Notamacropus eugenii: one gene and its partner. The protein of the gene in region 1 interacts with the protein of each later gene in a biochemical or structural test. Links are inferred from orthologs where the notes say so. Each region holds a gene or a part of one and is shown in the gene's direction. Other genes may lie near its edges.

The links.
Region 2: of the proteins of ZAP70 (region 1) and LAT, one has a biochemical effect on the other in vitro, tested with the Homo sapiens proteins (2 studies listed by BioGRID). The link is inferred for Notamacropus eugenii from reciprocal best matches to the Homo sapiens genes ZAP70 and LAT.

Annotation. Positions count from the first base shown.
Region 1 is NC_092875.1:51,903,750-51,914,665, reverse strand, and holds the start of ZAP70 (tyrosine-protein kinase ZAP-70), read left to right. Parts: upstream 1-5,572; 5' UTR 5,573-5,820; intron 5,821-6,923; 5' UTR 6,924-7,000; intron 7,001-9,580; exon of another isoform or gene 9,581-9,683; intron 9,684-10,916. UniProt on the Homo sapiens protein: Tyrosine kinase that plays an essential role in regulation of the adaptive immune response. Regulates motility, adhesion and cytokine expression of mature T-cells, as well as thymocyte development.
Region 2 is NC_092872.1:46,478,761-46,489,589, reverse strand, and holds the start of LAT (linker for activation of T-cells family member 1), read left to right. Parts: upstream 1-6,513; 5' UTR 6,514-6,588; coding exon 6,589-6,760; intron 6,761-6,961; coding exon 6,962-7,016; intron 7,017-7,201; coding exon 7,202-7,242; intron 7,243-10,586; coding exon 10,587-10,647; intron 10,648-10,829. Other genes in the region: SPNS1 (protein spinster homolog 1), read left to right, coding at 226-377, 537-603, 947-1,092, 1,494-1,649, 2,448-2,637, 2,913-2,978, 3,399-3,497, 4,209-4,380 and 1 more. UniProt on the Homo sapiens protein: Required for TCR (T-cell antigen receptor)- and pre-TCR-mediated signaling, both in mature T-cells and during their development.

The DNA of each region.
Region 1 (10,916 bases):
TGATCCTTTATTTTCTTCTCCTTTGTCTTAGTCTCTGAGGAAGAGATGGTCAAAACCAACCCTTGTCTTTATACCTTGATCCTACACCTCAGCTGGGAGACCTTCACTTCAAACATCCCCTTTCCCCATCAATTGCTTCCTTCTATGTGCCTGCAAATGCATTCAGTTCTCTTCACTGCACTTGACCCTGCCCTGTCCTCAAGCTAAAGTCCTGTATCTTTCATTTTTTCACTGACAAACACCTGGAAAACTGCTTATACTTGTTGCATCTATTTCTGTACCTCCCACTCATTTTTCAACCCTTTGTAATCTGGATTCCAAGTCTTCCCATTCACTGGAACCACTCTCTCCAAGATTACTCATAATCTCTTAACTGCTAAATCCAATGATGTTTCTTCTCAGGACTTTCCAGGCTGCCATTACCATTGGAAAACTCCTTAACCCTGCCTTCTCTCTCATTCTCACTCAGTTTGGCCTCAACACTCACTTCCTTTATTTCCTTTCTTCTACTCTGCCCCTGTATTTCATGTCCTCTGGGACCTTGTTTTATTGTGTCTTTTTAGAAAAAGCATTTATTGATGTTGTGTGTGTGTGTGTGTGTGTGTGTGTGTGTGTGTGATTTACCACCTCATTTCCCCGGATAGAGTTCTTTCTTGTAGCAAAGAAAAAACATCAAGATAAAATATCCTATGTAGAAATAGTTTTTTCTGACAATATATACAAGAACCTAGTAGTCCCCCTATCTCTCTGTCATGAGTGAGGGAATTTGTATCATTATCTCTTCAGCAGGACCTTCTTGAGATTTCTATTACTCAGAGATTAACTTTTTAAAATTGATCTTTTAATTTATTTCACTATAATTATGTAGTTACCTTGATTCTGTTTAACATTCTTCCCCTACATCCTTCATCAAAGACTCCCTTGCAGCCTTGATCGCTTCCTCTTACTGTTGAACCGTTCCTCTGCTCAAACATCTTCAGTGGCTCCAGAATTCAAGTTTTTCAACCTGGCATTTAAAGCCCTCCTCAATCTTACTGTAATCTACCTTCCCATTCTTATTTCCCATTTCTTTCTTGTGCACACTCTACATTCCAGTCAAACTGGACCATTAAGCTGTACCCCAAACCCAACATTCCATCTCTATGACTTGACACAGGCATAGAATGCCTGGAATGCACTCCCCCTTCATCTCCATCTCTTTCAAGGCTTGCTGCAGGTGCTGATTCCTGTGGGAAGCCTTCTGTGCTCTTCCAAATAGCTATTGCTTTCTCCTTCCTCAAACTTGTATGTATTTCTGCATATGTTACGTACTTCCACTCCACCCCCCAGTAGGATGTAAGCTCTTTGAAGACAGGGACTTTCACTTAGGTCCATGTTGATACTGTTACTCATTCTTCATTCTAGAAGAGGCTAGACTGCCCAAGAGAATCTTTTGGGCAACGTTTTTCCCCCCAAACCAGTGACTTCATCAGTGGGGAATCCCCAGGGTAGAAACTCAAAACTTCCTCCACCAGTGATGATTTGCAACTCATTTTTTAAAAATAAGTTTTTGTTATCTTTGGTTTAACATTATCTAAAATTCCCCCTGGAAAATTCTCCCTCTGGGAAGCTAGGTGGCACAGTGAATAAAGTGCCTGGCTTGGCATCAGGGAGACTCATCATCTTCCTGACTTTAAATCTAGCCTCAGATACTTACAAGCTATATGACCTAGTCAAGTCACTTAATCCTGTTTCCTTATCTGTAAAATGAACTGGAAAAGGAAAAGGCAAACCAGTGCAGTATCTTTGCCAAGAAAACCCCAAATGGGATCACAAAGAGTTGAATATGACTGAACAACAACAATAAAAATTCCCCCTTTGTCTCTCTCTTCTTCTTCCCAGAGCCATCTCATACAACAAATAATTTTTTTAAGAAATAGAATAGAAAAAAACTCATCATAACCAATCAATCAATCCATGAACAATATTTGAAAACATATGTAATGTTCCACAGCCATGGACCACTTGCCTCTGCAAAGGAATGGAGGAATGTGTCTTCTTGTGTATTTCTTTTGGGACTCTGCTTCCTTCCCTTTGCATCAGTTCATGTAAGTCTTTTCAGGCTTTCCTATACACACCATATTTATTTCTTCTTATTGCATAATCATCATCATCTTCTTTAGTTCAGTCATTTTTCAATTGAGTCTGAATCTTCATGACCCCATTTAGGGTTTTCTTGGCAAAGATACTGGATGGCTTGCCATTTTCTTCTCCAGCTCACTTTACAGATGAGGAAACTGAGGCAACCAGGGTTAAGTGACTTGCCCAGGATCATATAGCTAGTAGGTGTTTGAGGCCAGATTTGAACTCAGGAAGATGAATCTTCCTGACTCCAGGCCCAGCCGTCTATATCTACTGAGCCACCTAGCTGTCCATCCTCACCATCATCATCATCAATCGCAATCATGATAATAACAGCTCACATTTATGTAGTACCTACTATGTGCTAGGCACTTTACTAAGTGCTTTACAATTGTTATTTCGTTTGATTGTCACAACAGTCATGAGAGGTAGGACCTATTGGTAATCCAACTTTTCAGATGAGGAAGCCAAGGCAGACAGAGGTTAAGTGACTCACCCAGGATCATACAGCTAGTGTTTGATAACACCCAAGGTATCTCATCATATTTATGTACCACAATTTGTTTAGTCATTTCCCAAATGATAGTCATCTATTTTGTTTCCAGTTCTTTGCTCCCAAGAAAAGTGCTGCTAGAAATATTTTGGTGTATACAGGGATTCTCTTCTTATCAATGACTTTTTTGGGATATATGCCTAGTATTGGAATCTCAGGCTTATTTTTGTCATTTATTTAATTCCCAATTTCTTTCTAAACTGCTTATACAACTCGTATCTCTACCAAGAACACATGAATGTGCCTATTTTTCCACAAGCTTTCTGATCTTGACTGTTCCCGTCAAAGAGCTTAGCAGTTTGCTGGATGTGAGGTGAAACCTCAAAGTTAGAGTGTTGAGAGATTATGTGACTGGCCCAGGGTCACTCATATGGTCTGTATCATAGGATAATAGGACCATAGATTTAGAACTGGCAGGGGTCTTTGATTCCAATCTCTTCATTTTATAGGCAAGGAAACTGAGGCACAGAGGTTAAGTGACTTGTCTTCAGTCACACAGTTAGTATGTGCCAGAGATAGGGCTTCAACCCAGGTCAGCCTAACTCCAAGGATGCTCCTTGTCCTGAAAGCCTCTTATTTTGTACATTGTAAGAACTTAATAGATGTTTAATGAATCAAAACTGAATAGACTTTTAAATCATTTTTCTCCATGTACATGACATCTCCTTCCCTTAATCCTACCTCAGACCTTAAGCTCCTAGAAAGCACAGATTGTTTTATCTTTGTATTCTAGTATTCCACATAAACTACGTGCTTGGTACATGGCAGTTATTGAATAAATTGAATTGTTTAATAAAGAATTCAACTAATGAAATGAAATGGAGTGGTGGTATCAATGAGGAACTGGAGGAAGAAGATACCTTATTTATCTTGTAACAAACAAGGATGATCAGGGGAGCCCCCTGATCTGCACATCTTAGGGTACTTCCCATGGGAGTGGGCAGTTATACTTTGAGTCATTTGGGAATGGGACAAAGCCAGCAAAGAACTGAATTGGAGACATTAGGTGTATCTAGGTAGGTGGTGGATTCTTGGGTTCAATTCCTGAGTTCCTGCCTCAAACACTTACTAGCTATGCAACCCTGGACAAGTCACTTTACCCTATTTGCCTCAGTTTCCTCATCTGTAAAATGAGCTGGAGAAGGAAATGACAAACCACTCTAGTATCTTTGTCAAAAAAATCCCAAATGGGGTCATGAAGATTTGAACACAACTGAAAAATGTTTGAACAACCACAATATTAGGAGGATCAAAGGAAGATGAAGCTTGTTCATACTGGGCAATTAGAATCTGAGGAATCTGGAGTATCCCAAAGGATGGGATGGGCTTAGAGTTGGGACAAGGTAAGAGGGGAGCCCCATGCTGCCTACAAAGTACTGTGGATGCACCAAAGAGATTGTGGGACTTGGAATCCTGGGACATGAATTCAAATCTGTCTTCTGTTTATTGTCACAAGCATTGGGAGCCTCAGTTTCTCTAAAAAATAGGGTGGTTGGAGTAGATGATTCCCAAGGCCACTTTTAGGTCAACATCTTTGATCCTGTTAGAAAACAGGTCCTTAAATGTTTTTGTGCCCTGGACCCCTTGGCAGTCAACCTGGTGAAGGGTATGGGCCTCTTCTCAGAATAAGGTTTTCAAATAATTTAAGGAAATGCTAAATTTCAGTTAGTGGGTGGTTAAAATAAACTGTGTCATTTATAAAAAAAAACAAATTTAAAGATCCCTTGAAATCTATCCAGGACTGTAAGTTAAGAACACTTCTTTCACAGGGATTTAAGAAGACCCTTGGTCAGTAGCCATAGCAGAGAGAGCCCCCGGACCTGAGCCAGGCTCTCCAGGCCTTGCTCTGTAACCTTGGACAAGAGCTCCCTCCTTCTCTCTGACTTTAGTTTCCTCTTCTATAAAAAGGAAAGGTCAGGGATTAGACTGGAGGATCCCTAAAGTCCCTTTCAGCCCCAACATTCCATGGTTCCAGGACAAGTTTGGTCCCAGTGGTAAGGTCCTTCAGAACCTGGTCTCTAGTAAGTTTGGGGAAATTTCATCAATAATATTCTGCTCTAAAATGGGGCCTAGCTGGGGGCTGGTGATGGTGCACCAGCTGTGGATTTAAGCCCGTTGAAGTTTTGTAAAAGGTTTTCCCCAGCTAGGAGCCAACTGGCTGAAGGCAGTGTGGCCTTCAATGGATACAGATGTGCCTTCCTTGGAGGAAGGCTGGAATCTTTGGTGGCTAGTGGGCTTTAGTGCTGCTATGAGCTCTGGGTGCCCCCTTTCCTTTGGTTATTGATGTAACCATGGGTCGGGGGAGAGGACTTGGGACACAGGGAGGCTGAGTTCTCGCCCTACCTAAAGGAGGCAGTATGATATGATATAGTATAAATAACCCTGGTTCTAAGCAGGGATTTTTCACCTGGGCTCTGTGGATTTGACTTTGTAAAAATATTTTTCGAACTGTGCTTCAATACAATTGGTTTCCTTCTTTATCTTATGTATTTTATTCTATGTATTTAAGAATGTGACTCTGAGAAGGGTCCATGGGCTTTAGCAGACTGACTGCTGAAGGGAACCAGGACATGAGAAATGTTATGAAAGCTTATTCTAGAGTCGGAAGAGCTGACCCTCTGTGATGACCTTGGGTCAGTCACTTCCCCCTCTTCTGTTGTAAAAGATGGGGTCCCTTATAGCTTTAGATGTAGGATGCTAGGGACCATGTAATAAGAGACCGTCCCTGAGGCAACCTCTGGGTCTGAGGCCCAGGAACTCCTGCCTGCCCCCAGTTTGAAGATTTTCCTCCATACACAGCAGTTTGTGACTTTGACGTAACCTTCAAAGGCCTAGTTGCTCCCTCCACATCTGGGTGGGTGGTTTTCTCTTTCTGTCGTCTTTTCTTTCCTGTCTTCCTTATCACGGAAATAGGTCACATTTCAGAGAAACCAGTTGACAAACAGATTCGTTGACAGAGGGTGGTAGCTAGAGCCAGTGGTGGCTGGGCCTAGACCCTGTCCGCTAACTGCCTTCCCCACCCTGAGACCCTGGAACCCAGGGTAGCCTTTCCCTCCATGGAACTTGGCCCTCCAAGAGACTGAAGAAGACTGAGGGAGCCAAGAAAGCCTGGTTCCTTGGGCCTAGCGCCTCCTGAACCTCCACAGGTAAGCCTTTTCCTTATTTCTGATTCCTGGTTCTGGCTGCTGTCCTAGACTGAGAAGGATAGGGATGCTCTGGGAGTTAGGAGAGAGCTGGCCCATACTCACTAGAAGTCATAATGATGACTCCTTTTTCCCATAACTCAGGGATCATGCCTCAGCCTTGAGCCACTCAGCCTCATGGTCCCCAAGCAAGAAAGAGAAAGAAAAAAACATTGGGTGCTAACCAGTATTTTGTGGAAGGGAGGTTATCTTTCCCAAGGCCCAGAATTCCCCAGCCCAGGGTGTCAGAGTGGTGGACCAGCCATTCCTCTAGCTCTTTGTGTACTGTAAGCAGGGATGTCAGGAAATGGTCAGGGAGCAGTCAAACTAGGGGTTAGGGATTGGTGAATTTAAGGGATAGATTTAGGGATAGTCAAACTAGAGAACAAAGCCATCGATAGACTAGATATGGCAAAGGGACAAGCAAATGCTGGGTCACAGGAATGATAGATTGAGTATTTCAGGAATGGCCAAGCTAGGGGGTTGAGATCTGGAAGATGGTTAGCCTAGAAGTTCTTGGAATGGTCAGACTGAGGCCTTGGGAGAGAGACTGGGGATAAGCAGATGATCAGACCATGGAGTCAAAGGGATAACTGGACTGGAGATTGGGGCATATTCAAACTAGACAGTTTAAAGCATGGTCAAGCTGGGGTCATTTGGTGTGGTCACATTGGGAAGACAGAGAACAGTTAGACTGGGAGGAGGTCATGATAGGTCAAACTAAAGAGTCTAGGGGAGTCAGATGGACGGGTCAGAGTATTATTAGACCAGCAGTTCAAGAGATAGTCACACTGGGACTTCAAAAGTAAGTTAGACCCAGGAGTTTCGGATATGGTCAGACTAGGGAGTCAGGAGACAAACTGAATGCTCAGAGGAGGGAACTGAGGGTGGTCAGATTGGGTGAGTCAGGGGGATGATCAGATAGAAGAGGGAGGCTATGATTAAGCTGGAATTTGACCAGACAGTAGGACTGGGAGGAGTGTTGGGACATTTGGGACATCAAGGGTTGGGACATCAAGACAGAGGCCTGTATGAATTCGTTTCTCACTTTCCAACTCTGCATTTAGGACCATTTCTCCTTGTGGGAAGGAACTGGAAAGCCTCTCACCCTTTGTCAGTTCTGCTCCAGCCTAGACACCATCAAGTAAGTAATTTCCCTGTGCCAGGCTGAACCCTTTTAGGGGTGTTAAGGGTACAGACTGGGCCAGATAGTGGTGATAATGACGGTCCAGTGGTAATGACATTTATAACATCTCACATTAGTACTCAGGGGTGAGAATGATGGTGCTAGCACAACGGTGGGGAAACTGTGGCCTTGAGGCCACATGTGACCTTATAAGTCCTCAAGAGAGGCCCTTTGATTGAATCCAGACTTCAGAAAGTTTGGATTCAGTCAAAGGGCCGCACTTGAAGACCTAGAGGGCCACATGTGGCCTCGAGGCCGTAGGTTCCCCACCACTGTCAGCTAACAGTTCCCACTGGGGACCTGTAGTAATTCCAGATCTAGAAATTGAGGAAGGCCTTGCATACTGTTTTTATAGTCTCTTGCCTAGAGGGAGATGAGCCTGGACCAGAGAGAATCCCTCCTCACTCTACTCCTTTTCACATGGATGAAAGGGGCGCTTTTTCCTGTGTCCCTAGGTCTGTTCTTAGTCTTTGGAATGGGCCTTTGTATCCCTTAGCTTCCCCTCCTCCTTTTCTTCCTCTTTCCTCTCACAATAATAATAATCTAAAAGGTGGAAAAAGATTCATAGATGTTCTCAGAGCACATCATAAACAGGCTACAATGCTTAGAAATTCTTCTAGAACATATATTAGATTGTAAGTTCCTTGAAAGTTCCTTGCCTCTTTGTATACTCCCCTGCATTTAGCATAGTGCTTGGCACATAGTAGGTACTTAATTGATTGATATAGACAGATATCACTTCACAGAACAGTAAGTAGTAAAGGTAGACAATAAGGACACGTTGCTGTAATTATCAACTGTGGCCAATATTGGTTGGATGGAGTCTCTGAAAGGGCTAAAATCTAAAAGGAGAATCAAAGGGCCATCTATGGGTAACATCCATGTGAACTTATATTGACAAATAAGCCTTAAAGAAATGACCAAGCTGGACAGATTTGCTTGATGGAATGGAGGGGTTTATGGTAGTAATGTAGGACCAGGTCATTGCCCCCAGAAAGCACAGAAAAGTCAGACTTAGGTAGATGATAGATAGATAGAGAGATATGGATATAGAGACAGATTGATGGATGGATGGATAAATAGGGAGGAAAAGGGGGCAAAAAGGAGGGAAAGAGACAGACAGACAGACAGGTTGCTAGGTAGTTGGAACAAAAGTAGATATGCAATTACTGATGTGCCAGGTACTGTACTAAGTGCTGGTCATACAAATACAAACAAATAAGAGAGTTCCTGTCCTGCCTTCAAGGGAATCTCCTTGAAGGAGATATTTTAATGAGGGAAGAAAAGAGATATTTTAATGAGGAAAGAAAACACATAAAGAATAACTGGAAAAGGAAAAGGGTGGTGTGGGGATGGGAATGTCATGGTTGGGAACTGTTTGGACGCCGAGCTCAGGACAAGATGAGGGAAAAGCTCATTTATTATAGCCCAGATTTTCAGGGAGCAGATTATGTAAGGAAATAGTAGGAAATTCCCAACATTTCACTCTGGTTTGCAGGTTAATATCTATTGAATATCTGCAAAGAGACATGAACAGGTGGTCAGAATACTAGAAGCTTCCTATCCTTTGTATATCAATAATAAGCCTCTGTATTACAAATACGGATCCCAAAATATCCTTGAGAATTCAATGAATAAACTAGTAGAGATAGAAAATTGTTCTAAGAGAGCCTCTTTCTTTTGTTATGAATTGCTTGGTTCTTTCATGCTATGCCTTTGATTGATTCAAGGAGGTGTACAGGCCCTGTTCTTCAATTCTTAGTGTTGGATTCCATCTAAAACTATTTTTTACTTAGTTAAGGTAGGAGAGGTTAAAAAAAAAAGGTATGTGTGTGATTTTAACCCCATCTTTGGAAAGGGATAGATATCTCAGGATAAAAAGACAGAAATAGTGCACGCAAAATACAAAAATGTCCCTTTGTCATCAAGAAACTTCTAACTGATAAGACACCAGACACATCTCTCTCTCTCTCTCTCTTTTTCCATATATATATATATGTATATCACATATGTATCTGTATGTGTATAGAAATATGCCTGGTGTCACAAGTTAGAACACACATGTGTATGTGTACATAAACATATATGAATGCATGCGTTCATATGTGTATGTATACAGATACACACACATATATGTACAGGACAAGAAAAATCTCTTGTAGAAGGGTGTACTTGTGTTGAATCTTGAAGGAAAGTAGGATTTCAAGAAGCAGAGACAAGGAGGTAGAGCATTCCAGAAATGAGCCAGTGCAAAACTGCAGAGATAGGAAATGGAAGATAGTACGTAAAGAGTGTAAATAGGCCCATATGAGTGAATAAGAGTCAGGAGATGAGGATAACTTGGAGATTTTGAAACCAGGAACCTGAAAGGATTAGAGGGCCCTGTACAATAATTGGGGGCTTTGAAAGAAGGGTCAATATGGGGTAGATGGATTAAAGGTCACCGTGAAGAAGACGAAGAGGTTTAAGAGGAGTAAGATCTAGGAAGAGAGGGAATAAGAGAAACTTAGGCTTCTGACGAAATAACTTCAGCATTCTTTAAATATGGAATGCTTCACAATTTTGTGTGTTGTCTCTGAGAAGGAACCATGCTAATCTTTGTAAGTTCCAATTGTAGTACATGTGCTGCTGAAATCAGCACTATTTCAGCATTCTTGATCAAGGAAGTAGAACATTTGTGGGTGATTGGGAGATTATTGAAAGAGATGAGAACAAGTTAATAACAAATATAATAAGAGCTGGCACTTATATGGGACTTTTGTGGGGTGGTTCTTTGTAATTTATTTTTTTAAATTTTTTGTGTTTATTTTTAGTTTTCAATGGACACTTCCACAAGATTTTGAGTTACAAATTTTCTCCCCCATTTCTCCCCTCTGACCACCCCAAGACAGTGTGCATTCTGATTATCCCTTCCCCCAATCTGTCCTCCCTACTATCACACCTCTCCCTTCTCTTATCCCCATTCCCTCTATTTTCTTGTAGGGAAAGATAGATTTCTATACCCCATTGCCTGTATGTCTTATTTCCCAATTGCATGTAAAAACAATTTCTAACATTTGTTTTTAAAACTTTGAGTTCCAACTACTCTCTCTTCCTCCCTCTTCACCCATCCCCACTGAGAAGGCAAGCAATTCAATGTAAGTTATACATTTGTAGTTATGTAAAACACTTCCATAACAGTCATATTGTGAAAGACTAACTATATTTCCCTCCATCCTAGCCTGCCCTTCATTTATTCTATTCTCTTTTGACCCTATTGCTCCTCAAAAGTTTACTTCTAATCACCTTCTGCTCCCATTGACCTCCCTTCTATGATCCCCCCAACCCCCACTTATTCCCCTTCCCCTCTACTTCCCTGTAGCGCAAGATAGATTTTCATACCAAATTGAGTGTGCATGTTATTCCCTCCTTAAGTCAAATGCGATGAGAGTAAGGTTCACTCTTTCCCTTTCACCTCCCCTGTCTTCCCCTCCATTGAAAAAGTCTTTTCTTTTCTCTTTTATGTGAGATAATTTGCCCCATTCTATTTCTCCCTTTCTCCTCCCAATATATTCTCTCTCCTTTTCTCACTCCTTAATTTTAATTGTTTTTAGATATCATCCCTACCTATTCAACTCACCCTGTGCCCTCTGTCTATAAGTATATAATCCCTCCAACTACCCTAATACTGAGAAAAGTCTCAAGAGTTACAAATATGATCTTTCCATGTAGGAATATAAACAGTTCAACTTTAGTAAGTCCATCATGATTTCTCTTTCCAGTTTACCTTTTCATGCTTCTCTTGATTCTTGTGTTTGAAAGTCAGATTTTCTATTTAGCTCTGGTCATTTCAACAAGAATGCTTGAAAGCCCTCCATTTCATTGAATGACCATT
Region 2 (10,829 bases), on another chromosome or scaffold:
TTCTCTTTTCTTCTCTGTGTTCTCTCCCTTAGAGAACTGAATTACTGATGTGGTTTCAACTATCATTTCTATGTAGATAACTTCCTAAGTCAGCATTTCAGGTAGATTTTGTTCATTTTATTTTGCCGCGAAGCTTGGAAAGCCAGGGAGGTCAGTAAAGGGTCTGTGAAACTCTCTGAGGTGGAGAACGTCCAATATTTGGTTTGTTTTTAATTCTTTTCCCAGAGATTTTGGCTTCTTCTCTTTACCCGGGGCTTGGTAGGGGTCGGGGAGGCCAGTTACTCTACCATCGCCCCCACCCTCATTGCTGACCTCTTCGTGGCTGATCAGCGCAGTCGGATGCTCAGCATCTTCTACTTTGCCATCCCTGTGGGCAGGTGAGGTTGCGGGGGTCAGGAAGTAGGAGGAACTAGGGCACTGTCTTCAGACCTGGAGAATAAGAGATAAAAAAATTAGTCTGGGTGGAGAGGCTTCATTTAGAAGAAGCTTCTGTGTGGCAGATCCTCCAATCTGTATTCCATAATCTTTTTTTCCAGTGGTCTGGGTTATATCGCAGGATCTAAAGTGAAGGATGTTGCTGATGATTGGCACTGGGCACTCAGGGTGAGTGTTCCATCAGGGATGGAGAGGGTGTACACATCATCTTTCCTGAGCCTCTTACTCACTGTTGACCCTTTTCCAAAGTTTTTCTCACCAGTGGGTATGTGTGTGTGTGTGTACATGCATGTGTGGTGTGTGCGTGCATGTGCAGTCTTGCATGTGCATGCGTGTGCACATGTGTGTACATATGTGGTCGCTGTGTATGTGGTGTGTGCGTGTGGTCTGTGTGCATGCACATGTGTGCATATGTGGTTTGTGCATGTACGGTCTGTGTGCGGGTGCACATGTGTGCATGGGTGATCTCTGTGTGTGTCCTGACGTCGGGGGGACTGTTGTCTCTCCTTAGGTCACGCCAGGCCTTGGGATGATTGCAGTGTTGCTGTTGTTTCTGGTGGTGAGGGAACCTCCACGCGGAGCTGTGGAACGCCATTCAGACACCCCTCCCTTGAACCCTACCTCCTGGTGGGCTGATCTGCGGGCTCTGACTCGGAAGTGAGTCCCAGGGACTTTTGTACAAGCCTTCACTCATACCCCTTTAGCCCTTTAAGGAGAATCTTACACACTTCCAGTAAAATGAAGTGAGAGTTCATCCTGTGTACGCTTTGGTTCTCCTCTGTGGGAAGCGTGAGCCATGAAACCTTAGTACCCATCTCCACCTAGTGGCTGGACAGCTAAATTACAGTCCAGGTATTGGAGGAGAAATGGACCACTTCATCTTCTGTCTCCTTGCCTAATAAGGGTAAATGCTGCTCATACCAAATGGTTGCCTGTCAACTTTTACCATCCTTTTGTTCTCTCTCACTCCCCTAAATTAACTTTTGCCCTTGCCCTAAGTGTTGTTGAGAGATAGGAGATGATTGTTTTGAACTCTCACCTTCTCTCTTCTGCTACAGTCCCAGTTTTGTGTTCTCTTCCTTGGGATTCACGGCTGTGGCCTTTGTCACGGGGTCCCTGGCACTGTGGGCACCAGCATTCCTACTCCGTGCTCGAGTAGTCTTAGGAGAGACCCCACCTTGCCTCCCTGGAGATTCCTGCTCCTCTTCAGACAGGTACTGGGAATGCTTCTCAGAGTGGGGAGGGGATATGGAAAGGGGCTCTGGGTTTATGTTTTTCCTCAGTGAGTCAACAACTTGGCAGAATAAATGGCCCTTCTTCCTTCCCCTCTAAAAACTCTTATTTTGTGGGCTGATATCTATATGGTAGCTAGGTAAAACGGGACAAGAAGGAGCAGATGTCAGATTCAGGGATCCAGGCTCACAGTGGCCAAAGAAGGGAGACATTAGCGACAAGCTGTTGCAGGGTTTTGAGCTTGGGGAGCCAGGTAGTCTCTGGGACCAGGAAGGTTCAAGAAACTCATTGAGAAATCCAGTTGGGGTTTTGAGAAAATCAGAGGTTTAGAAAGCAGGAGACTGTATGAGAGAGTGGAAGGAAACATGAATTTGGAACAGCTGAGTTCAGGTCTTTTCAAATGTTTTCCATGTGACCTTTGGCCAGTCACTTCTTTTAGCCTGAGTGTCCTCCTCCATAGAATGAGGATGAACTGCCCATTTCACAGGGTCAGCCTCGAAAGCCCTATGGAAATGACATTTACTAGTGAAAGATAAAAGTCCTGGAGCCAAAAACCAGGGTCCCCATGGGCTGGGTTCAGGGAGGAGCCACAGTTTCCAGAAGCTGGTACCAGCCAGGGCAGGAGCTCTTGCTCATACCTGGTGTCAGCAGCATCTCAGCTTTTAGGCCCAATTCTGCTAGAGAAGGACAATGAATTTTGGAAAACACAGACTTTTCACGCAAACATGGCAGACTTGGGCCCGTTGCTTCCCTCAGTCTTCTTTTTTTCTCCTTCCCAGTCTCATCTTTGGACTGATCACCTGTGTGACTGGGATTCTGGGTGTGGCCTCTGGTGTAGAGATCAGCCGCCGTCTTCGCCGCACCAACCCCAGGGCTGACCCTTTGGTTTGTGCAGCTGGATTGTTGGGATCTGCCCCTTTTCTGTTTCTGGCCCTGGCTTGTGCCCAGGACAGCATTGTAGTTACCTATGTGAGTGTCCTCAATTTTTCCCCATTTGCAGATGCTAACCAGCCCCCCACATACAGAGCACAGGCACAGCTCTCCCAGTAGCAGCCTTGAGCTTGAGTGGGCGGGCAGGTGGGTGAGAGTAGGTGGAGGTGGAAGGGTTGGGGGGGAAACAAAACTCGTGGTCCCCAGCTTCAATCCTACAGCTCCCCAACATGGCTCAAGAAAAAGTAGAGGGAAGGGCAGAAAGCTGCTGATCTTTCCAGGGTTACTCCCTGATGTCCATTTTCTCTCTTCAGGTTTTCATCTTCATTGGAGAGATTCTGCTGTCCATGAACTGGGCCATTGTAGCAGACATTTTGCTGGTGAGAGGGTGGGCCGTCTCTGACCTCGCACAGGTCCTAGTGATTAGCACCTTGGCTAGTGAGAGCTTGATAAGGCTTTTGTTCCCCTGGGTCAGTGGCTTTGTTTTGTCATAAGAAACTGATCCATGATTCCATCTTGCTCTCACTTGTGGACTATTGGTTGCTACCTGAGTGTGGGTGCCCCAGTGGAGGCCGTCTCCACTTTTGGGACAGAACTTGAAACTTCCAGGGGGTTAGGAATTTCACTTATCATATAAGGAAGGTAGCCGTTCTCTTCTGTCTCCCTCCATGTAGTTTGGGCTGAATAACTTAATTCAGAAAGTGTTGATAGAATTCGAAGCTTAGCCCTCTCTCTTCTGGCTTTCTCAGCTCCCTTTACTCCTTGGGGAATCTAACTTTGGGTCTCAATTCCCTACCTAGTATGTGGTTATTCCGACACGCCGGTCAACAGCAGAGGCCTTTCAGATTGTCCTGTCCCATCTGTTGGGGGATGCTGGAAGCCCCTACCTCATTGGGCTGGTGAGTGTGAATCTTCTTTTGGAAGGCTTTAGCCTTGGCTGGGTCATCCTGGCCCAGGGCAGGTTAGGAAGCAGTGAGAATGGGGTAGGGAAGGAGAGAGAGTCTTTGTCAGCCAGGAGAGTTTGTCTGATTTCAGCAACCACTGATGTATTTAGCACTGTCCTGAGAGAGGAAGAGCCATCATGGGGAAGGGAGATGATACTTGTTCTTAACTCGGGGAGGCAGATTTTTGTTGGGGAAAGAGAAAGCTTTCAGAAAGTGGAATGCGCTGCCTTGTAACAAGGTGGTGAACTCCTCATCCTTGGGCTTCTTCAAGTGAAGGCTAGATGACCACTTGTTAGGAAAGTTTGTGGGTAGAGTCGTGTGATCCAGGATGTTTCAGGTCTTCTCTGTGTAATCAATGAGATCCTTTCCAATTCTGATTCTCTGATTTGGAGGGAGAAGACAGTGTAGTCCTGGGTCTAGAGCTTTTGTAGGGAAACAAGGGGCATCAAACTAGAGAACAGTTCAAGGCAGCATTTGAACAGATATGGGATTGTGAGGTGCAAGCAAAGCTGATAATCTGACTGTCTCCTTCTCTGTTCCCCTTTGTCCTGCTTCCTCCGTCTCTGACTCCCTCCGTCCCCCTTTAGCACAAAGTCATCTTAGCCCCTTAGCCCTCCTCACCTACCCAGGATATGACCGCTGTCTGCTCTCTTTTGTCCCCTCTAGATATCTGACCGTCTCCGCCGTAACTGGCCCCCTTCCTTCCTCTCCCAGTTCCGGGCCCTGCAGTACTCCCTCATGCTTTGTGCCTTTGTCGGGGTTCTTGGGGGTGCAGCTTTCCTGGGCACTGCCATGTACATTGAAGGTGATCGAAAGAGAGCCCAGCTCCATGTGCAAGGTGAGCTTTCCCCACTGGCGGCCTTGTCCCAGGGCTCCTTGTCTATGTCCCCAGCTCTCCCTTCCCCAGATTCCGTCTATCATCCGCCTTCCTCTTTCTCCCCCTAACCTCCTCACCCCTCCTTGTCTTTCTGCCCATTTGTACCTTCCCAGTCCTCCCTTCCACTGGGGTGCCTGTGTCCCCTCCCTGTAGGCCTATCTCCATCTCTTGCCCTGTGCTTCTCTCTGAGATGTTCATCTTCCCCTGGTCTCATCACTTCTTCTCTCTCCCCAGGCCTCCTGAGGGACATGCCCTCTCCAGACGATCGGATTGTGGTCCCTCAGCGTGGTCGTTCTACCAAGGTCCCGGTGTCCAGTGTACTCATCTGATTGGGTGGACTATGGCCTGAGGCCACCTTGTGTCTGGTTCCCCTCAGGGGGATAAGTGGGTGGTGGGTGGTGGGCAAGACTCTGAGTTTAACCCCAGCACCCTGAACTGTTATGCCAGCTCTGTGGCTGGTGTGGTATCATGACCTCTGACCTGGAACCACAGGAATGGGGCAGTCACTGAGGTTTGTCCCTTTTTCTCTCCCTGTACACACGCACACATAGATGCATTATATGCACAGCAATAGGGTTCAGGGACAGATTTCCTGATCAGGGAGGGGGCAGGTGGTTGGAAGGCCACAGAGCAGGTGCTCTCAACTTTCTGCAGGTCCATTTGGGGAGGAAAGATCTTTTTTCTCTCTGCCTGTCACGCTATAGGTGGGTTCCAAGCTGCCTTCCTGGGGTCAGGGGCAAGGTGCCCCCACCATCCAGGCAGGAGGGTTTGGTGCTATTTTTATCTGAATAAACTTTGTAACCAGAGCCTAGCGTCAGCTTGTGTCCTTTTCCCTCCCAGCTCCAAGACTCGAGAGAAGGGGAGGAGCCCTGTGTGGTGGCACGCTGATTCTGACTTTGCTAAGGGTTCTGTGTATGTTAGCGTTAGAACGTGGGGTAGTCTGTTTTAGGAGCCCTTCCTGCCACAGGAGTCTAGAGTACGTGCTTTGAGGGCCCTCCCTGCTCTAGCCGTCTGGAATTCAGACGTCTGGTCCAGTGTGACACTGACTCACCCACTGTCTTTTCCTAATAGACACTTTAGAAGCTTGTCCTCTCGCTGTCCGACAGGCAGTCCAGCCACTGGGGATGATAATATAGTAGTTCTCCTGTTCTTCTACCCCCTGGATGATAGAAAGGATGTCAGAGATCCTTTGTCCAACCCACTCTTTATAAAGATGGAAATTGAGTCTGAGAGAGGTTAAAAGTTCCATTCTCTTCTTTTCCTCGGTTCTCTGCCCTCCCCATTAGTGTATCGTTTCTTGCATGAACAGGACCCTCTTTGGGGAACATATGGCCCTGACTTAATCTATGGTACTAAGTAACCCTAATCATCCAGAAGGACCCTTTGAGAACAGCTGGGAATTCTTGGTTACCAAGGCCCCTGAGAGACCATCCCAAGTAGGATTACTGGGCTGGGGCAATGGGGGAGATCTAGAGTGCTCCCCTCCCCCTGGGGGGCACAAGGATGGGGGTGGGAGGCGGGCGCAGCCATGCAAGGAGCCACTATAACTTCCTGTCCCCGCCCGGAGCTCACCACAGCTTCCTGCTGCGGGCGGGCAGGCGCTGAGTGGAGGAGAAGAGATCGGGGAACAGAACCGTCGGGACCAGGGACCAGGTATGGGGACGTGGAGGGAGTGGAGTGGGTTTATGGTGCCCAAACAGGACCCTCCCCACCCCAGCCAATCTGTCCAGCTCCCAGTAGGCTAGTAAGGCTCAGCAGAGACCATGGTGAATTTAAGCTTGTGTTCCATATCCACCCTAACCCTATGAGAGCTTAAGAGGTAGACAGAGCCTCCTACTTGGTCCTTATTTGCCTGTATTATCTCTCAATGCCAATCTGAGCCCCTCTGATACAGAGACAACTGGCTGAGCCCCCTGCCTCCCTTTGACACCACACTGAATACCTGGCTTCCTGGGCCTCGAGACTAGAACCACTGGTCTCTTCTGGCCTCCATCCCTTATGGCCTGTCTTTTGTGACACCGTTACCTACTGAGGGCTTAGATGTTCTCTTCCCCCAAATCTTTTAACTCTTCATTTCTACTCATTGTCTTGGGAGTAAAGTTTGGGATCTGAGCAGAGAATTCTTGCTCTGTCCAGTCAAGTGGGAAGGGGAATGGATGAGGGTGGGGTATGGTTGGAAGGCTTTCTGGACTGGCCTTCCAGGTTGCCCTAACCTGTGGGTCTTGGCCTGTGCCCCAGATGGAGACCACCTCTCTGGGTCCTAGCCTCCTCTGGCTCCTCATTCTACTGTTCCCAGCCCTGCTTGTCACTGCCCTGTGTTTGTGTTGTCGGGACCTCCCTGGTAAGTGAAATACTTTTAAGTTCATCTCTAACTTGAAGGCCCCTAGACCCAGTCAACCTTGTAAACTATCTCTTCACCTTGCACAAAGGATCCTATGTTCCCATATTCACAAATTCATCCACTGTCCCTCTTACGGCGTCACCTCTCCCTTGTTCCTTACCCTAGCCTAAAGTAACTCCTGTTCCTGTCCCATCCCTTCAGCCTCACCTGCCTCCTCCCCCACAGGCCCCAACTTGGAGGTCCCCACAAGTGGTAGGTGAGTGTCTGACTATTCCTCATTCCCAAATGGTGGCTATGATGGACCAGTGTTGGAAGGAGGGGAGCTAGCTGAGGAGGGGCTGTTTGGTGAGAAAACATTGGGGCAGTGGCTGGAGGTGGGTGTGGAAGTACAAGGCCTTGTCTTCTACAACCCCCAGCCCATGCCTTCCTTCTTTCCACTAGAGATCCGCCAGTCACTGGATTAGTCATCCTCAAACGCCCCTGTGAGTATGGCAGGAGGTCTCAGTACACTATATTTCCCTGGGACTGCTTTGAGAAATAAGGGAATGAAGTCTTGGGGGAGAGTCACTGTGTGAGTGGGTATGTGTCTGTGCGTCAGAAAGGGAGAATTTGAAAGGTATGGCTTCTGTTATGTGTCTGCATTGTTCCCAGTCTCCTGCCCTTGAAATGTCTACCACAACCTTTGACCCACAGCATCCTTGAATTTAGAGCTGGAGGATGTTTCAGAGATTTATCCAGTCTGACTTCATTTTACAGAAGATCAAACTGAGGCACAAGTTTGGGGGACAGGAAGATGGGACCCCGGAGGAAGGGGATAAATTGCTTGAGGTCATAGAGCTAAGCCCAGTTCTTTGTCCCTTCTGTAAGCCCAGCTCCAATGCAAAGTGACCCTTTAAGGCAGGGGTTTTTTACTTTTTTTGTGCTATGGCCTCATGTCCCCTCTGTTGGAACCTGTGGACCCCTTCTCAGAATAATAGTGTGTTCTAAAGAAATGCTCAATTTCAGTTAGAATTAGTGAAGATAAAGATGTAACTTTTTCCATCCCAGTTTGTGGAGCCCCTGAAGTGTATCCACAGACCACATGTTAAGAACCTTTGCTTTGAGACTCATTAAGACTAGACTCTTTAGACACTGAGATGTTCAGCCTCCTGATAGCTCCAAGAGGACAAGGACTGTTTCTCCTCTTTGTGTTTCTTCCCATCCCAAGCTGTGCAGGCACAGAGGGGACTGCTTAATGAAGTAGTTCATGGAATTGAATTACCCGATCACAAACCACTTAGTGCAGTTCCATAAGCATTTAATCAAATGCCTACATTTAATCAAATGTGGCAGGATCTCTAGGCCTCCTGATCTATATCTTGCCCCTGGACCCAGATGACTCTGGAGGAGAAAGTGAGGTTGGTGACTTCGCACAGCCCTCTTTCACTTAAATCCAGTTCACTTGCAAGTCATGTCATCACCTTCTTGATGTCGTGGTCCTCTTTGAGAAAGAAGGACAGATAACCTGTGAATAATCTGATCTGCCCGAACTCAACTGGCTAGTTCCAGTTGGGCAATGCAGCTCTTCCTTCTTCCCTTCTTTCCTCCCTCCCCCCTCCCTCCTCTCCTTCCCCCCTCCCTCCTCTCCCTTCCTTCCTCCCTCCCTCCCTCCCTCCTTCCTTCCTTCCTTCCTTCCTTCCTTCCTTCCTTCCTTCCTTCCTTCCTTCCTTCCTTCCTTCCTTCCTTCCCTCCCTCCCTCCCTCCCTCTCTCCCTCCTTCTCTTTTCTCCTTCCTCTCTCTCTGCCCACATAAGGTATCATAATCTTATGGTACTTTACCCAAAAAGTAGAAATTTTTAGGGCTGAAACGTAGCAAGATATTTTGTGGTTTATGAGCTAGATTTTTTTCTCAAAGACCATGCCTTAAACCCAATTCACTTTGGCTGTCATTGATTGGCCAACAATAGATCCCAGCCCAAGCCCCACTTAGTGGTCACTATTGAAGCCCTGATGGCTCAGAGTGAATGTAAATATTAATTGTTTCTCTTCTGGTCAGGAGCCCTGATTTTTCTTTCATTACTTGGCTCATTTCTTACCCTGCCTTACTTGTTGAATGGGTGTCACCTCAGTCAAAGTGAGAATTTGGAAAGACCTGAACTTAAAAAGGCCAGGGTCTCCCGCTGCATCCAGGGCCGTCTCCAGTCGTCCTGATCTATATCCGACTACTGAATCTAGGTGACTCAGGAGGACAAAGTGAGGCTGGTAACTGTACAGCCCTCCCTCACTTAAATCCAGTTCTCTAACAGGTCATGGCATCACTTCCCTGATATCATGGTCTTTTTCGAGATCAAAGGACACACACCAACTCTGTGGCAGGCCTCTGTGTTAGACGTATAAAGACAAAAAAGATAGTTCTTGCTTACAAGGAGTTCACATTCTCCTGGGCACATGGTGGTGGGAATTACATGTTCACAGATGAATGAATGCCAAGTAATTTAAGGAGAGGTGAGTACTAATGCCTGAGAGGGGTGAGGAAGGGCTTCTTGTAGAAGGTACGTGAGTTGAGTCTTGAAGGGAGTCACGTCCCCAGGAAGCCATTACTTTCTAGTGACTCATGCCATACTACCCCCACATGTGGCCTGCACCTCCTCCTTTATTAGTTTGGGAAAAGGAATAAGGAGATGTAGAGAAATAGGGCTCCCACAAATCAGACAGGATTAGGAAATTTGGGAGATGACAGGTTAATAACTTTTACAACTCTACACGTGCTTTTTGCTCTTGCTGACGGTATTTTTTGCCATATTTGTTCAACCTGGTATTTTAAAAATTAACTTTAGCCGTGTTGTGTCCTATTGAATTTCCATTGTATAGGTTGGGGCGGGGGGGGGGGGGGGGGGGGGGGAGGATATTTCCCTCACTAAGGCCAGGAGAGCTGGAGAATTTCACCTCTCCCAAGGAGGAATTTGGCAAAAACTACTAAATGATCACAGTAGACTTAAGTGGAAATATCTGTAGGAAGGATGGGCTTTGAGAGCTCACCCTGTTACCTATTAGCTGACCTTGGACAGGCCCTTCTCTGTAAAGTGAGGTAATTAAGCCAAACTTGAACTCTGAAATTTCTCTTACAGATTTAAATTCTGTGATCCTGCACTGTAGATAGATGTGAAGGGCTTTCAGAAACAATTGCATGTAATAATATTTTAAAAATATATTAAAAATAACATCAGATAAATAATAAAATAAGTAAAAATTAAAATATTAAAAATTATATTTTTTCTAAAAGGAAGAAGCAATAGAACCTCCCCTTATGTGTCCTATCCCTGAAATGTCCTCCTTTCCTCTCTTCACGTACCGAATTCCTGCCATCTTTTTTTTAAGCCCCCACCCCCGTATCTGGGAAGCTCCCCCCTCCCCCAGTCAATAACTTTCTCCCTCTGACCTCCTATCCCGTTGTTTTGTCAACTCTCTGATACATTTCTCATGTAATATTGTGAATGCTAGCCATCTGTTCTTGTGTCTTCTCCCTTACTGGGTTTTAGGTTCCATGAGAGGGCTATGGGCCATGTCTGCTAAATTTTGTTCATGGTGCTTTTAGCCCAGTGTTCTGTATGTTCTGGATGTAGTGAGCACTTCATTAATGTTTGTTGAATGAATAATGAACTTGTCTAAGAGACCCCTCAGTCCCCAGTCCCCTTGGATCTTGAATTTCTTGAAGAAAATGTCCTTTTAGGCACTGAGGGCCACATTGAGGGTCCTCTGCCTCTCCTTGGTGCTCTCAGCCCTGTCCTGATTCCTTCCCCCTACCCCAGGTCCTCTGATGCCATGTACCCCTAATCTTTACCCCACAGACACTAATGTTACGTTTCCATCTACAATACCCAGCCAGCCAGAGGTGCTGCTCCCTATCCCGTAAGTATCTACCCTTTTTTCCCAGTCACCCCAGTCTAACCTGAAGTCTGGGGTCTCTGCCTTCTTACTGTCTGGCCTTCTTTGAATCCTGGACTGTCTAAATCATCGCCCTCAGTCTTCTGTCTTCCTACCTTCCTGTCTCCCCTGAGCCAAGGCATCACTACTCCTCCCACTCCTTTGGC